Sus scrofa: one gene and its partners. The protein of the gene in region 2 purifies or fractionates together with the protein of the main gene of each other region. This does not show direct contact. Links are inferred from orthologs where the notes say so. Each region holds a gene or a part of one and is shown on either strand. Other genes may lie near its edges.

The links.
Region 1: the proteins of DUSP4 (region 2) and MAPK14 purify together in Homo sapiens (affinity purification with mass spectrometry; 3 studies listed by BioGRID and IntAct, with this or other methods). This does not show direct contact. The link is inferred for Sus scrofa from reciprocal best matches to the Homo sapiens genes DUSP4 and MAPK14.
Region 3: the proteins of DUSP4 (region 2) and MAPK8 purify together in Homo sapiens (affinity purification with western blotting; 3 studies listed by BioGRID and IntAct, with this or other methods). This does not show direct contact. The link is inferred for Sus scrofa from reciprocal best matches to the Homo sapiens genes DUSP4 and MAPK8.

The regions. Positions count from the first base shown.
Region 1 is NC_010449.5:31,855,986-31,860,946, reverse strand, and holds part of MAPK14 (mitogen-activated protein kinase 14), read right to left. Parts: intron 2,758-4,961; coding exon 2,584-2,757; intron 2,386-2,583; exon of another isoform or gene 2,304-2,385; intron 1,762-2,303; coding exon 1,694-1,761; 3' UTR 1-1,693. UniProt on the Homo sapiens protein: Serine/threonine kinase which acts as an essential component of the MAP kinase signal transduction pathway.
Region 2 is NC_010457.5:55,502,929-55,509,066, reverse strand, and holds the end of DUSP4 (dual specificity protein phosphatase 4), read right to left. Parts: intron 5,533-6,138; coding exon 5,313-5,532; intron 4,701-5,312; coding exon 4,315-4,700; 3' UTR 607-4,314; downstream 1-606. UniProt on the Homo sapiens protein: Regulates mitogenic signal transduction by dephosphorylating both Thr and Tyr residues on MAP kinases ERK1 and ERK2.
Region 3 is NC_010456.5:88,986,838-88,993,470, reverse strand, and holds the start of MAPK8 (mitogen-activated protein kinase 8), read right to left. Parts: upstream 4,558-6,633; 5' UTR 4,379-4,557; intron 1-4,378. UniProt on the Homo sapiens protein: Serine/threonine-protein kinase involved in various processes such as cell proliferation, differentiation, migration, transformation and programmed cell death.

The DNA of each region.
Region 1 (4,961 bases), on a different chromosome or scaffold from region 2:
TTTCTTCTTTCACAAAAGGTTTAAATACATGGGCCCTTATGTAGCACAAGATGCCTGAAATTCAGAAAATTATGAAAACAACTCTTCTCCACCCCTGAGGATATTTCATCTTTATAAAGTTGAAAATACAAAATATTAAAATAATTTGCCCTCTCTCCCCATCAAAAGGAATCACATTCTCAAAGGATTCCTGCAATATACAAAATTCTGAAACAAAATTTATTTCTCCTCAAACCAAGACCAAGAAGTCAATGTTAAGCTGCCAAGAAGACCCTTTTTCCAAAGGAGGGTGGAAAAGACACCTCATTACTTTTTTAAAAAATAACCATATTTAGACAAAGACAGGAAAAGGAGTTTCTGGCCTCATGAGCTTTTATTTTTCACGTTGATTTTCAGAATTTCTTAGCATTGGTTAATGGGAGTGAAGAGAACAACCTGTTTTCCAAAGTCCGAGATATTCCTGGGACAAGCCCTGATCTTTCCTGGTTGACAGCTCCCTCAAAGTCATTTGTTGAAAACCAGATGGCAAGAATGAAAATGCTATACATCCACCTGTTCTGTTTCTTCATAGTTTTCACATCAAAAGCACCTGGAGTATCAATTGTGTTCAACACAAAATAGCACTGGGGGCTGAAGAGAGGATGACATCACCTGCCCACAGCATCAGCTGAGGTGACACGTGTTCTGAACTACCCACAAAGTCTTCACTGGCAAATTGCCTGGCACCAAGGCCTCCCAAAGAGAACAGGACAAGCAGCAGTGCATGCTCAATAGCAAGACGTGCAAAACACATCACTCTGCTAGGAATAAAGAGCACACGGGAAGTACACGGACAGCAAGAACCAGCTTCTGACTACCCAGAACGGTACTTAAGAAACCTCTGCACTGAAGGTGGGGAAAGCAGAGCATGGCAATGACACCTGGTGGGGAGGTGGGGAAGGAGAGGGAAGCACACACACGCATGCTCACACATGCACACACTGTGCCTCTGAAGGCTCCCTTGTTACTTCGGGTTCACAACTGGCCGTCTGACAATCTGACTACTTGCCTGGCTCAGAACTTCATCCATGGCACTCTTAACTACACGTTCTTCTCTCCTTTTAAGGCACAAACACATTTATAGTTTTAGGTACACCTGTTGAGTTCTGAGAATCATGCTAAGCAAGTTAGTCATAGATGAGCGCAGAGAAGCCAGCTAGTCCTTTTGGCTGACGTTTTGAAGGGACGGCTTCAGATGTGAAGCGAACAGACGGTGCGAGCCTTCTTCTGTGCCTCTGCGGGGTGTGGTCAAGCCAAACCCCTACCAACAAGGGTGGCCGCAGGAGAGGCCAAAATGGCAAAAGCATGACTGGGGGCTGGGATGTTTAACATTTTTTACTTTGCTTTTAAGAAGCCCTAACAAGATGGCAGCTCCTGCTGCCCAGCTGACTTTCACAAAGAACAAGCAGAGACTGCCACGGAGCAGGGGTCGCTCCACGTAAAGTCACTGTGATCATAGTTTGCTCATAATCTCTTACCCTCCCACAAAGTCAGACAGACAGACACACACACACACATGGGCACGCACACACCCCCCCTTCCACCACGGAGGAAATCTTTGCAACAAGAGGCACTTGAATGATATTCGGAGAGTTCCCATGAAAAGGCCTTCCCCTCACAGTGAAGTGGGATCAGCAGAACAGAAACCGGATTCTCAAGACTCCATCTCTTCTTGGTCGAGGGGTGGCGGCACAAAGCTGATGACTTCATCGTAGGTCAGGCCTAGAAATCAGGAAGGAAAAGGAGGACGTGAAAGTTCGGACTATTCATTTTGTTGGCAAGCACCCTAACTTCTAAGCTCAAGATCCTTCCTCCCTGTCCAGACTAGTGGTTCCATGGGCCACTTCAAATAACTGCCTCACCGTTTGTGTGTGATATCCTGATGGAACATGTGATTCCACAGAAGTTCAAGGATACATACAAGAGAAGCATCCTTTATTGCTTCTTTAATCATCCAGTGCCTCCTCTTTAAAACTCTCTGAAGATGCTTGAGAATAACGTAGTAATCCCATTTGCTGTAGCAACAGATAGTCCTGGCTTTTGAAATTTCACTGGAGTTTTCTGAATGTGTGTTTTATGGAGAGACTATGAAACTGAGCACAGGAGACCTGGGTTCTATTTCTGGCTGTGTCCCTAATTAGGTCTAAGGTAACAGTTAAGATGTTAACTTTCTTCACCCAAGTTCTATCAATTATAAAACTGTAAATGCACCCTATCCCCTACTTAGCTGGGAAAGATGGTATAAATGCAAAAATTCTGAGAACCTCAAAGTTCTATGCAGACGTGAGGGGCTGTGCACAAAATCAGACCAGACAGAAGCATCTCAAAGGTCCAGAGTGTCATCATCTACAACAGACAGTTTCCATCAGAGGAACATACTCATTCTGCATTAGAGACCTAACGACAAGGTTTAACAAGTTGGATTTAACCAGGAGTCCGCACCTCCACCCCCCACCCCCCTGCCCTCCCCCACTGACAGCTTTTGGTTTGTGGTTCACCTGGCAAAGATTTTTAAAGCTACGTGTTCATCATGCTCAGACTTACTTTTCCATTCATCTATAAGGAGGTCCCTGCTTTCAAAAGACTGATCGTAAGGATCAGCCACTGGTTCATCATCAGGATCATGGTACTGAGCAAAGTAGGCATGCGCAAGGGCTTGGGCTGCTGTAATTCTCTTATCTGAGTCCAAAACAAGCATCTTCTCCAGCAAGTCAACAGCTATCAGTGATGCAGATTGGAAGGAAAAAAGAGTTTTTAACACACTGCCAAAAATGTATGCTTTATTAAGCAAAACACAGTTTTGACCTTTTACACCAAAACAAAGAATTCTCCTTCAATTCTGGGATGTTACTCCTTTCCTCTTTTATTTTTTTTTTTTTTTTTTGGTCTTTTTAGGGACACACCTGCAACACATGGAAGTTCCCAGGCTAGGAGTTGAATGGGAACTGTAGCTGCCAGCCTAGGCCACAGCCACAGCAACGAGGGATCTGAGCTGGGTCTACAACCTACACCACAGCTCATGGCAACACTGGATCCTTAACCCACTGAGCAAGGCCAGGGATGGAACCTTGAACCTCGTGGATACTAGTTGGGTCCATTATCACTGAGCCACAACGAGAACTCCCCTTTCCTCTTTTATGTTTGTTTGTTTTTGTCTTTTTTGTCTTTTCTAGGGCTGCACCCACAGCACATAGAGATTCCCAGGCTAGGGGTCGAATCGGAGCTGTAGCCACTGGCCTACGCCAGAGCCATGGCAACTCGGGATCTGAGCCGCATCTGTGACTTATACCACAGCTCATCGCAATGCCCGATCCTTAACACACTGAGCAAGGTCAGGGATTGAACCCGTAACCTCATGGTTCCTAGTTGGATTCGTTAACCACGGAGCCATGACAAGAACTCCCCCTTTCCTCTTTTAAATATATGTGTGCACGTGCATGGATGGATGTTGTATTTTTTCTTTCTTTTCTTTTTTGGCTGCCCAGCAGCATGAGGAGTTCCTGGGCCAGGGATTGAATCTGAGCCAGAGTTGTGATCTATGCCACAGCTGCAGCAATGCTGGATCCCTAACCCACTGAGCGAGCCCAGGGATCACACCCATGTCCCCAGTCTGGCAGAGACACCATCAATCCCATTGCATCACAGTGGGAACTCCGGATTTTATATTTTTTAAGAATACATTACTAGGAGTTCCTGTTGTAGTACATTGGAAATGAATCCAACTAGGAGCCATGAGGTTGCGGGTTCGATCCCTGGCCTTGCTCAGTGGGTTAAGGATCCGGCGTTTCTGTGAGCTGTGTGTAGGTCGCAGATGTGGCTCAGATCCTGCGTTGCTGTGGCTATGGTGTAGGCCGGTGGCTACAGCTCCAATTGGACCCCTAGCATGGGTACCTCCATATGCTGAGTGTGTGCCCCTAAACAAAACAAAACAAAAAGAATACATTACTAAAGAAGAATTTAAAAAAACAACAGATTATGTATGAGCAAACGTTTGTGGAATGTCAGTGTTGAACTGCTCCCACTGCAGTCAAACTATCAGAATGACAGTCTGTAACTGAAGTAATCCACAAGAGGTGAGTGGGGCTAGTATCACACTTTTTTGTCCCCTTTCACTGTTTATTTACTAACCTAAGGCAAATGAATATACATCAAATGGACTGCCAAATAATGAACAAACTGAGGATTTTATGTGGGTGTGTGGGTGAGACGTGGTATTTGGATAAAAGAAAATTTTGTTTTTAAAATTTTCACTATGAAAAATTTCCGTATACAAAATAATAGGACAGCCAATACTCATATGCTCACACCCATATCCAACAATTATCCTTCTATATTTATCTATGTACACACATATTTTTTGCTGAACCATTTTAAAATAAAATTACAGACATGACATTCTACTTCTAAATATTTCAGCATACAGTTTCCTGTATAATCATAAAACTGTTATTATATCTGACAAATATATAATTCTCAAGTATCATCTAAAATCCAGTTCATGTTAAAGTTTCTCCAATTATCCCAAAGTTGTTTTTTATACCTAGTCTGTTCAAACGAGGGTCCAATTAAGGGCCACGGATCACATCTGACTGAGTTTCCTTAGTCCCTCTTAATTCTGGAACAATCCCTATTTTTCCCAGTTTTGACCTAAAAGACCCCACCCCATCTCACCTGTTTTCTTGTGCTATCATGTACTTACACCTTGTTTTTCTCTATCCCTTCTATTTCCTAAAAACCATGTTAGATCTAAAAATTTGCTAAGAATTGCTTACACGCTTTTGGCAAGAGTACTTCATAGGTGATGCTGTCTACTTGATGGCACATTAAGGTCATCCATCCCATTAAAAATTAAATTTGATCACTAAGTTAAGAGATTTCTTTTTTGCCCCAAGCAAATAAATTGTGTGTAGGCAGCACCATGT
Region 2 (6,138 bases):
TGCAATCTTTGGCCATAGCCCTAGTTATTTGTGCTCAGGATGTCTAAGATTGACTGCTCCCACCTGGGTGCCGTTCTTATCACCTCATCCTGTACTTGGCACAAAGCAGACTCTCAGATGAAGCACATCTGTCTCTTATTATTCACATCTTCCTATTTCTCTGACTAGAGGTCTGGTTCTTAGAGATTCCCATCAGCCTTCTCCTGTCACCTTCCTTGAGTGCCAGCTTTTCCTTGTCTTTTTAGGATCACACCTGTGGCATATGGAAGTTCCCAGGCTAGGGGTCAAATCAGAGCCGCAGCTGCTGGCCTACGCTACCACCACAGCAACCCCAGTTGAAGCCACATCTTCGACACAGCAACGCTGGATCCCTAACCCACTAAGCAGGGCCAGGGATGGAACCCGCATCCTCATGGATACCAGTTGGGTTCATAACCTGCTGAGCCACGGTGGCAAGTCCCTTGAGTGCTGATTAGGGAGCTCACAGATTGACCAGCCAGTCTCTGCTGGAGACGTTACTTTGTACATAAGATTATCAAATAACCGAGATCTCCCAAGTTATCATAGCAATGCGGTTTTTCAGGAAAGGATTAACCAAGACACAGGTGGTTGAAAATGTATTTATTTTTCTTCAAATGATTTTTTTTCTTCAAGCAATAAATAAAAACAGACATGTTGACTTTTCTAAAAAACAAAACCAAACAACAAAATCCCCTAAACTATATACATCCTACAGAAATACAAGCATATCAAATGTAGAAATGACGTCACTCTGAAAGATGGGGCTATTTACAGAAGTTACAAGTATTGCATTGCTCTGTCTTGAAGAAGCCTCTTTCTCCTGTGACTCAAAAACTTTAAGGAAGGGCAGGGTCTCCCCCACACACACCGAGGGGAAGAGGGGTATCCTCAAAGAGGTGGCACTACTCTCCATCCTTGAGAGACAAGGCAACTTCCAAGGAAGAACACCAACATCCAGCCACTATACTCAGTTCCCCCAAAGATCAGCTGACTTGAAAGGAGCTTATGTGAGAGTGCCTCTTTCGGGAGGCCCTATGTCCTTGAGTTCCTGACAGAAAATATCTCATCCCTCGGCAGAACTGAGACTGGCCTGGAGCCCACGCTGAATTAGTGACAAACCCCTGGCAAAACAAGCAAGCTCTGGGTTACAAAGCCTTGGCCTCCAAGACTGCCTTGCCACCCAACATGGCCCAAACTTGGTTACACAGGGAGAGCATCACTTGGGGAGCTTTGAAACCTACTGATGCCTGGGTCCCTCCTCTGGACATCCTGGTGCACTTGGGATAGCCTGGGATAGCCTGCAGGCAGGCTTTCTAAGCTCCCCAGGTGAAGCTAATGCGTAGCCAAGGTGAACCACCACCTAAGGGCTTGGTGGCCAATTCCAAACTAACAGCCCCCTTCTCCTCTCATCTGAATCACCATCCTACCTTCCTGTCCATCTTCCCAAGGATTTTACATTTTTTTTTCTCATGGTTCTCCAACATTGGGGAAAACCCTCTTGAATGGGGACATGAGGAAAATGGCCTAAGGACGCCATGACAGGCTGGCAGCTCCCACTCCAGGGGAAGGCTCCACCAATACCCTAAGGTCACACAGATGCCAGCCGGGAGGGAACTGGCAGCAGTCTTCAGTCTCCATAAAAGATCCAGTGAATCTACTGCCTTCGTAGTCAGCAGCACAGTCGATAATGGGTGAAAGTGGCAATGCTTTCTGACCGCTACAGAGATTTCGTATCACAGAAACCACTTCATGGGAGAGATGCCTATTGAAACACATTGGCCATTTGGACTGACCCTGCCATGCCATCTTCCTTAGAGCTATATTCCAAGTCATCAAAAAGAGGCTTCTGATGGGAGAATAGTGACCCCAAATCCCCGTTTCTAATCAAGCCTATTTCTTATTTCATTTCTAAAAGTTTGCGACTCCTGCTGTTATCAAGTACAAAGAAAATGGCTTTATAAATAGTGGTTTGACATTGAGATATAAGACGTGAATTGGAAAGCAGAGAAAAGACCTGGCTGGGCGGGTCCTGGGCTCCAACTGTCTGTGTGGTTGGAATCCAGTCTGGGAAAGCAGGATGCACACAGGTTTTGGCAAATGTACACTCATTCCACAAAAAGCAACTCACCCGAAGCTTCTTTTCCTCCCCCTCAAAGCAGTTCCTCTTTCAGACCTACCTGCCTGTTGGAACCCATATTTTTTCAGTTGTAGAATTCACTTAACCTCATTCATCACAAAACATAAAGCAACTTCCAGGAATCAAGGGGAAAGTCGGAATGTCCAGCTTGCCATCTCTAATAGGCCCATTGTCCAGGAACCCCAAGCCCCCGACATCTCATCCCTAATGATTCAGCTAAGCAGCTCCCAGGAGGGAAGGCTTTTCTAAAAACAGGAAGTGGGAACTCTGGCCACACCCAAGACAGGGCTAGACAAAAGTCAGGGCAAATGAGGCCAACACAGGTTCATGTTTATGGAAGGAAATGTAGGGAACCCGGTCCTGCCTGGGAGGCGGGGATGAGAAGGAGCATTCCAACACTGTCCCGACATTGAGGCTTGAAGTTATTTATGGGTGAGCAAGAATGTTCATCACGTAGATCCTCAGAGGGCTTAAAAAACAAACACAAAAACACACACAAAAAAAAACATGCTCTCATTTCTAGACAAGTTTGCAATTACCTCTAACCTGGCACTCCTAACAGCACTGTTCCACAATACTACAAATTAAATAACACGTGGTGTGTTCCCTCCTCCCTCCCCCAAAGCCCACCCCACCTCCTCTTTCTCCAAAAGCCATTCCTCCATTTGGAAAGGCCCTGAAAATGCCAATATTCCAAGAAAGGATCTCAAACGGCCTCGGAGCGCCCCTGGTGTCCCTCACAGAAGCCCTGAAGCCAGCTCCCACGCAAATGAGTCTGCCCCACTCCTCACTCACGCCCTCTTGCCGACCTAGATTTCCACAGGACCTGAAATGGGGTGTCCACTCCCCTTTTTATACAAGACAGCCTTTACAATATTCATCTAAACCAGGAATTTTAAGAACACGAGAATTCGTTGGTATACTTTCATTCCAAGCAAACCCCCTAAAATTAAAAACTCCGATTTATGCAAAGGAGAAAAGAGATGGTGCTTCCACTTCCAAAAGGATCCATTGCGGGCCTCTCATTAGCGGGGTTCCCCAGTGGCCTTGCCAAACGATTCACTGTAGGAACATCTGAACTGCACCCAATTTTTTTGGAGCACCTTATATGATATGGCATTTATCACAGAGGATACGCAGATTCTCAGGCAGGGAAAAATGCTTCCACAGCTACACTGGGTTACTGATCACCAGAAGCAGCTGTATTGTTGCATCAGTGGTCCATGCGCCGAAAAACCAACTTCAAAAGTACAGTAACTCTCCGAATCGGTGGACGTGGTATCCGCAGGTTTCTGAGGGTGCAGAATCTACAGATTTCCGCAGAAGGAGGGCAGGTGGGCTAGAATCAATCCTCCACGGATTGGGAAAGGCGACTGTAATGAAAAAGCAATCCCTTCTTTTTTTCCTCCCACCCCCTCACCCTGCCGCTTCTCAGCGGTAACAAATGCACGTTGACCATCACACTAACCTGTACACACCACTGACTTCCTAACAGCTTTGCCGTCCGCCTGCCACTGAGTTCCGCTGATCTGCATCCAGGTAAATCTATTCTAAATTCACTGTCACTGGACTTTTTTACTTACATACACTGAGGAAATTCTTAATAAATACCTTTATTTATTACCAAGTATAATTATTCATCTGTGGTTGGTGACTAAAAAAGGAAAACCGTGTCCTAAAAGACTTCCTTAAAAAAAAAAAAAAAAAAAAAAAATCCTGTAATTACGACAAAAGGACCAAGCACACAGAACCAGGCACTTCTGGCAAACTTATCTTCGCCTTGTCCCTTCCCTCCCCTCCCCTCCCCCCTTAATAAAACTGGGTGGGCACATTTGCCAGGATCTGTGGGTTTCATAACTTCAAGCCTTACTGCTTAAAAAAAAATGAGGTAAGAAATTCCTATCTGAAAAGTAAAACTGACACACAAACCAAAACCCAGGTCTTCCCTGCCTGCCGAGGAAGCCGTTATTGCTCTAAGTTGGAGTGTTTTGCCTGTTGGCATTAAATATGTATTCGAGGTCCTTATTGCCAATCTAGCTGGCCCCACGTTTGGCCAAAGAGAGATGGATGGAAGGAGCTTTGTTGTCTACCCCCTGCTGGTCAGTCCTGCCTTGCTGCCCACACAGGGGCCACCCGGGCTGGACAGAGAGCCGGCTCTAGCAACTGGGGGAGGTGGTGATGGGGCTGTGCAGGTAGGGCAGGCTGCTGGGGGTCGGGTGCACCCCCACGGAGACCGGGAAGCTGAAGACAAATTGCGACGTGGGGGTGGGGGTGGCCTTGCCCCTCTCGCGCAGGGGGCCCGATGGGCTGGCGGCCTCCACCGCGCAGGACGTGGCCAGCACCTGTGATTCGAACTGCAGCAGCTGCCCCATGAAGCTGAAGTTGGGCGAGATGATGCTCCGCCGCTGCTTGACGAACTCAAAGGCCTCCTCCAGCCTCACGCGCTTCTTCATCATCAGGTAGGCCAGGCAGATGGTGGCTGAGCGGGAGATGCCAGCCTGGCAGTGCACTAGCACGCGCCCGCGGCACTCCTTCACCGCATCTGGGGCAGAGAGTGGGGTGCCATTAGGCCCCGGAGTCCCCACCCCTCAGCCAGGACCAGGGTGCGGGGGTCAATTTGTTGGATGCCCACCCCACCTGCTGCCAAAGCACTGAAGGAATAGCCAGCCCAGGCCCAGGCCAGAGAAGAGGAAACCTACGGGGAAGGGCCTCTGGAATTCCACCCCTTCTAGGGCACTTTGCAGACCAAACCAAACAAATGTACTAGCTTAGGTGCTAAAGCCTCCTCAATCCCAGAACACCTTCTTTAAAGGGTTTTCATTTGCAGGAACAAAAACAAAGACCTGACTGTGCCTTTGCCTTCCTCCCCAGGCCCCAAGTCTTTTCCTTGCAGCCCCAGAAGTCCAAAGAAAAGGTTCTTGGCTCCATAAGCTAGCGGCACCTGCTCTTCCTGTAAGTCTGTCTTCCTGTCCCTGACACAACATCCCAGGGCAAGCCTTCCCCCTAGGATGAGGGGAAACAGGCAGCCTCTAGATATAGCCCATCCTGAATCCCTCCTTCCACACACCAGTTATAAGTGGTTCCCTCTCCCCTCCCGCCTCCTTCCCCCCACCCCAAGGCCTTGGAGCCTGCACTCTGGCCAGAGCCAGCCTACCAATGTACTCGATGGCCTCCATGAACCAGGAGCTGATGTCGGCCTTGTGGTTGTCCTCCACGGGGATGCACTTGTACTGATAGTGTCCTTCAAAGTGGTTCGGGCAGTCGGAGGACACGTTCAACAAGGCTGTGATCCCCAGGGCATCCAGCATGTCTCTCCGGGCCGCGTGATAGGCGCTGCCGAGGTAGAGGAAGGGAAGGATCTCCACAGGACCCCCCTGCAGCAAAAAGGGAAAACAAAGCCCCCCCAAACACTAAAAGTGTAAGACAACCAGGCAGAGCCCTGGGGGCGTCTGGGACGGGGACAGTGAAGACAGTCTGAGGTAAGCTTTCCCAGGCCCCAGAGGAGACTGCCTCTGGACAGCCCCCCTAGGTTCCCCCATGTCCTGCCAGGACTGCTGGAGGGAGTGATGGGCCCAGTGGGGCTTCCCTGGCCTTTATACTCTGCTCTGCTGTGGGCCCCAGCCGTGGGTTCTAGCAGCTCACCTCCCCTGTGACAAACAAAGTAGAAGTACAACCCTGGCCTCATCCCACCATTAGTGACATGAAAAGCTTACACCATTACCGCTGAGCTGTTTGCTCTGTGGCTCAGGTACTTATTTGGTTGGACGTGCCTTCAGCTGGCACAACAAAAATAGGTGCCATGTCAGCCTGACAGACAAGACATTTTACCTGGCAAAATGAAGTAATGTTGGCTTAACTAATGACACTTTTCTGAGTCAGAGCAACACAAGTGATCTGATATGGGGAGAAGTTTCTGGACCCCAGAAGTTTCCCTCTGTCTAGAGGTTCCTATCGTGGCTCAGCAGTAATGAAGCCAACTA
Region 3 (6,633 bases), on a different chromosome or scaffold from region 2:
CATTAAATTCCACCCTTGATCATGAGGTTCCTGAAGCTAATAAACTCTTCATTTTCATATTTTCCACGAAGTCTGAAAGCACAGTCTTGTTAGTAAGCATGGTGCTGTGGAATGAATAAAAATCTACTAACCAAAGAACTCCTTCCTTATAATGAAGCTTTTTATTTGACTTATAAGTATAGTCATCACAAAAAAAAAAAAAATTTAGGGCCTCACCCACGGCATATGGAGGTTCCCAGGTTAGGGGTCCAATCAGAGCTGCAGCCACCGGCCTACACCTCAGCTCACGGCAACGGCGGATCCTTAACCCACTGAGCAAGGCCAAGGACTGAACCTGCGTCCTCATGGATACTGGTCAGGTTCGTTAACCACTGAGCCACTATGGGAACTCCATCACAGAAAATATCTGATGCAACAATTTTCTCTGCTTCTGTAGATTACAAAAATCTAACTTTCACCCAAGAAGGACTCCTTTTGTCCTAGTATGTTTTCTGAAGAACCATCTATCTGGGGAACAACTTTTCTATTTAAAAAGAAGAAAAATTCCAACAGTGTCAGTTTATAGTTCTAACCAAAAAGGTACGCTGCCTGCCTACACCTCTATAACTTGCTGATGACAAGGTCCAGATGACAGAACTAAAAAATGAACCTAGGTCTGATTCCTAGACAGGTCTACTTCCACCTATGACCCTGAATGATAGAACAGCTTATTTTAATACTCCTGTCACCTGTTACGTAGTAAAGTTTGTTGACTCATTTCTGAAATCAAAGTTCAAATAATCTGCCTTAAAGCAAGAAGAAAAAGCTACTAAATGTTCATGGAAAGAGCTCATGACTAAGACAATAAGCATCACAGCTCAGAGAGACAAATGATTTACATCTAAAGCTATGTGGCTTTGATGACTTCCCTGCTCTACATGAATCAGAGAGACTACCATCCATACTACTGACTTGATCAGAGACCTCTAGAGAGCTGGCATCTTAAAATCAGACATTGTTTTATATACATATGCAACAAAGCATCTCAACTATTTAAATGACACAAATATGTCTCAAAACTCAACTCAATGACAAAGCAAGACATTAAGAATCAGGCTTCTATTCAACAACCTCTTAATTGGCACTAGGATAGTTTGTGACTAGTCACTTAATAAATTACTTCAAGTAGTTTTGGTGAGCACTGAGTATAAACACAGGTTATTTCCACAATATTAGGCACTCAGCAAACAAAAATTTAAAGATTAGGAGCTCCTTGGTGGCTCAGTGGATTAAGGATCCAGCATTGCCACTGCTTGTGGCTCTGGTTACAGCTGTGGCTTGGGTTCAGTCACTGGCCGAGGAACTTCCACATGGCATGGGCACAGAAATAACTAACTAAATTAATAAATAACAAAATTTAAGTACCTAATTTCATTAATTTTGGTAAATTTGTTCTTAAACGAATTTCCCTTTCAAGTGGCCTTTCTCACAGGATTTAAAGTAATATGAAGGGGAGTTCCCGTCGTGGCGCAGTGGTTAACGAATCCGACTAGGAACCATGAGGTTGCGGGTTCGATCCCTGCCCTTGCTCAGTGGGTTAACGATCCGGCGTTGCCGTGAGCTGTGGTGTAGGTTGCAGACGCGGCTCGGATCCCGAGTTGCTGTGCCTCTGGCGTAGGCCGGTGGCTACAGCTCCGATTCGACCCCTAGCCTGGGAACCTCCATGTGCCGCGGGAGCGGCCCAAGAAATAGCAACAATAACAACAACAACAACAACAACAACAAAAAATAAATAAAGTAATATGAAGGATAAAGTTTCCCACTCTGCCAGGATACTTAGAAGGAGTCCTTTTCAAATTCATTAATGCATACACTTACTAAAACAAAATCAGTGCTATCTCTTCCTTTAAAAATAAGGTAAAGTTGAACAGGGAGTGGCTACTGATGGGTGTGGGGTTTCTTCTTGGAGGTAATGAAATGTCCTGGAATTAGAGGTGATCAATGCATAATTTTGTGAATACATTTAAAAACCATTGAAGCACACTCTAAAAGGATAAATTTATGGCATGTGAATAATATCTTGAAAAAGCTGTTATTCTTTAAAACCAACAGAGTTTAGAAAACAAAGCAAAAACACTTTGGGTTTGTCACCTAAAGCCTGACCAGAGGATTTGTATCAGTAACCCTTACTGGAATTTAACATACTTTAACTAGGTAAAGCAATAAAAGTTTAGTATCTCAAGATTTTCATCCCTATCTTAATAAAGTATCACTTTATTTCTTTATTTGCACTCTTAAGCTCACCTCAAATTCTTTCATATCCAAAATAAGTGCTAAAACATATTAAGTAGGGAGAAGAAAAGACATGTACTGTGGATAAATATTATTTTGAGTTTTAGACCCATATGCCTAATACTATTAGTCCAAAACATTTCTAACAAACTTTAATAAAATGTAATTAGATATTAAGGATTTCTAATAAAACTTTTATGCCATTTGTTTCTTTTGGTCTAACTTTTCCACTTAAAGGAGTATCGAGAAACATTTCAAGTAATATTCACAAAAGGATAAATAATCATTTTAGAGGCTTACTGAAATATCACTGAAATATACATATCACATACACAGACACACAGAGTAAAAAATATTTTAGCAAGATTTAAGTTTAGGATAGTTCAGAAGTAATAAGGAAAAAAAATTGATACTGAAGTGATTCAAAAACCCTTACTGTTGTGACAGACAATATATATACGAACTGATCATTTAGCCATCTGGATGTGACCCGTTTGCATGAGGCTTCCAAAACTTTACGAAGAACATTAAATGCTTTTTGTTAAGGCTTGAGTTTCAATATTATCAATTGTAAAGAGCTTTTCAGTGATCTGAGTTTTATTTAACACTTACTATATTCCAGGCTAGGTGTTGGAGACACAGATCCAAGACAGGCCTGTCCTGAAGGAAGTCCCATTCTGACTGCTTGGTTATGTCAGGTACAGCACTAAACATGTTCACTCACAGCATCTAACCTCCTAGGCTTAACCCACAGCAGAGGATTCTGAAGTAAACATTACACATGACTGTAAAGAAATACATGAAAGCTGTACATTTAGACCAAATATAACTCTACTTCCTAATACATTTAAGGTTACGCCTAACATTCCAGATGTACTACCAAAACAGTAAAATGACCCAGAATATAGCTATACCTTCTTTAACACACATTACTTACATAATTTCATTTAAATCTCATTTAAAGGTACATCCATTCAAAGTATCTTCTTCCATTAAAGGATATTTGTCTTTACCCTCAAACTCTCCATCTGGGTAGAGTACTGAACAGTTGTTGAATGAATGAATGAATGAATGAATGAAATAAACAGATGTTCTAATTACCAAGGGGGTACTTGCTGGATGCTTATCTTAAAACACAATGGACTGACAGACCAGAATTCTTCGGGAAAGATCACTGAATTTCAGAGGTAAAAATAGTAAGCAATTGACATTGTCTGATAACGTGCAGTCAACATGTTATTAAGTCCACAGTAAACACATGATAGGAAACTTTCAGAAATTAAAATGAAAATAAAACACTTTTGTGTTCATCACGGTACCTTGAAATAGACCCGGTTCTACGACCTAAGGATTGTGAACAGAAGTGCAAGACAAAGAGAAGGGAGGGTGGGGTGAAAAAGTCAAAAGGTCACCACCGAGTGACCCTCATGAGAAATGCGCGCTGACCACTGAAGCTCGCGCCGAGCCTGACGGGCACCTCCCGCCCAAGCCACCGGCCCGGGCTCTCCCTCGCAGCCCTGCTGAAGGCCACCTCAGTCTTTCTGCGCCGCCGCCTGCGTTCGCCCACAACATAAGCACAAAGAAACCACCGAGAAACAAAACACTGTTCCCGTGGGCTCCGGGCAGGCGTCGGGTCCCGGCCACCGGAACGCTTTCCCCGGCTCTCCACTGCCGGGGAAGGCAGCCAGGGCGCGGCGGGCCGCCTAGGCGCCTCCGTTCCGACCTTCGCCGAAGTATTTCAGAACTTGCCACCAACCTCCCGTTTCATTTATCCCTCCATACGCGGACGCCGGACCCGCGCTAGGAGAACGCCTGAGGACCGACGGGCGGAGCTGGAGAGGCAGGCGGGGGGCGAGTGGGGGGCAGGCGGGGCGCGCCAGGGTCCCGCAGCCTCACGCCCCCAGGGCGGCCCCCGCCTATCCCGCAGCTATTGTTCCCGCGCCACCCACGCGGGCCGCGCGCCCCCCGCCCGCCGCGAGCTCCCGCCCCCACTCCCGGGAGGGGGTCACGGCTGAAGAGAGGCGGCGGCGGTGGCGGCGGCGGCGGCACAATAACATAAACACCGCGGGGCCGCCGGCTCTGGCCCTCAAGCTCTCACCACACTCACCTGGCAGCGCAGCGAACGGCAACAGAAAACCTAGGCGGTGGAGACTGGCGCCGTCCCGGCGGTCGCCGCGGCCGTTACCCAGCGCTGCTCGCGGCTCCGCGCTCCGGGCAGCGTCGTCCGGCCTCGGCCGCTCAGCTGAGTAACAGAGACGCTGCCCGTCACGGCGCACGCCCGCCCACGTCATCGCGCAGGGCCCCGCCCCCGCGCTTCGCGAACGGGCCGCGGGGCGGGGCAGCCCCGGGGCCCGGATTGCGGGGGCGGGGCCCGCATCCGGGGGAGGGGCTACTCTAGGGGGCCGGGAGGACTTGCGGAGGTCGCCGGGAGGCGGAGCTGCGGGGAGAGCCTCTGAATGCGGACTGTGAGGGGCGTGGCGGGAAGCTGGATGGGGCGGGGCCCTGATCCTGGCACGTGGCGGCATATGGCCCGAGAGCCTAGTATGTGTACCTGGGCAGTACGCTATTCCTAGGCAAAGCCTCTGGGGTTCTTTGCCTCAGGGTTTGAAGGTCAGTGCGCTTAGGCCAGACCCGCCCAGGGAGCAGGCACCCCGGCCTGGTCAAGCATCTGAGTGACGGAGGGCTCTTTACCTTGACTGACAGTACGTCCCATTCTGAGGACATCTACTCCAGGCCTAACAACCCACGAGCAAATATTCTCTTCAGCCACCTGGAAAAAGCTGCCTCCTGTTTTCCCCAGATCCACTTCCTACAAGATTCCATGCATTGCCCTATTTGTCTTTGGGCCCCTCAAAGCATGTATATGTTTGTTGTAGAAGTGATAAATTGGCAAGTCCTTAAATATCTGACCAGTGGAAAGATGTCTATATTACATGCATGTTTGCAAAAGAACACATTTTAGCAATTTAAATGCCGTGTGTTCAAGGGATTCTTAACCACACAGGAGAATGTTCATCATACTTCATTAAGAGAAAGAATCAAGCCTATGTATATTATATATATAGATAGTTAGATGATGATCCTGCTTATATACTGTGTATAAAAGGAAAAAACTGGAAACATGACAACTTATTTTAACAGTAATTCATCATTGAGCTGTAAATTGATTCTCCTTGTACTTTGAGTATTTTTCCATGGTTTCCAAGTTATGTTCATAATCAGAAAAAAGTATATTATTTTAATAATGAAAAATACATATTTCGGGGTTTTTTTGGGGGGATCTTTTTTTAGGGCCACACCCATGGCATATGGAGGTTCCCAAGCTAGGGGTCTAATCAGAGCTGTAGCTGCCAGCCTACACCACAGCTCACGGCAACACCAAATCCTTAATCCCCTGAGTGAGGCCAGGAATCGAACCTGCATCCTCATGGATACTAGTTGGGTTCAATAACCACTGAGCTAGGATGGGAACTCCAGATATTTGTTGAAGAAATGAATGAAGTCATGTAGATTATTTTCCATGTTATGTTGGGCTGGCCTATTTCCAGTGATTCTGAAATGAAGCATTAATGTGCATGTTCATTTATTCATTTTCTCCCCAATTCCTCCCTCCCTCTCAGGGCTTCTTTATTTCCTTCCTTTGTTTCTTAAAGAAATACATACTACATACCCATTCTGTGCCCGGTACTGTGCTAACATTGGCAATAGGATGGAGCTTATAGACTTATATTACAATAGAAATAACAGTAAACAAATACAAAATGATCACTGCATCATAATACAAATTTATATGCATATATAGAATTATGGGACAAACTGATAGAGTTAATAAAGCCAGGAAAGTCTTCCTTGAGGACCTGCCTCTTGAACTAAGAATAGATTCAACTAGACAGAAAATATTTTAGACAGAGGTAAAAACTGAGGAAAGCCAGGTGCTGGTGGAAGAGCAAGGAAGAAGGAGCTATGAGATGAAGTTTGGAAGGGTGGAAAAGGACCAATTCTAGTACAGCCATACTACCTATGCTGAAACTCTTGTCTTTATCCTAAGTGCAATGGGAAGCTCCTGACATGCTTCAGCAAAGGGGATGGCATGGTCAGAATGGCATCTTAAAAGGATTCCTTGTTGGAAGGAGGCCAGTTAGATATAGGAGTAGTCTAGATAACGGACGGCAGAGGCTTGGTCTAGGGTGATAGTCGTGGAAACAGTAAGAGTAAGGATCTGAAGACATTTTAGGAGATCCAATACACAGAACTTGCTGATGGATTAGGTGGGCAGTGAAGGAAAGGTAGTCATCAAGGAAAATCATAGATTTCTTGCTTGTGGCCAAAGATGAATGCAATATTGATTCACTGAGATGCGAA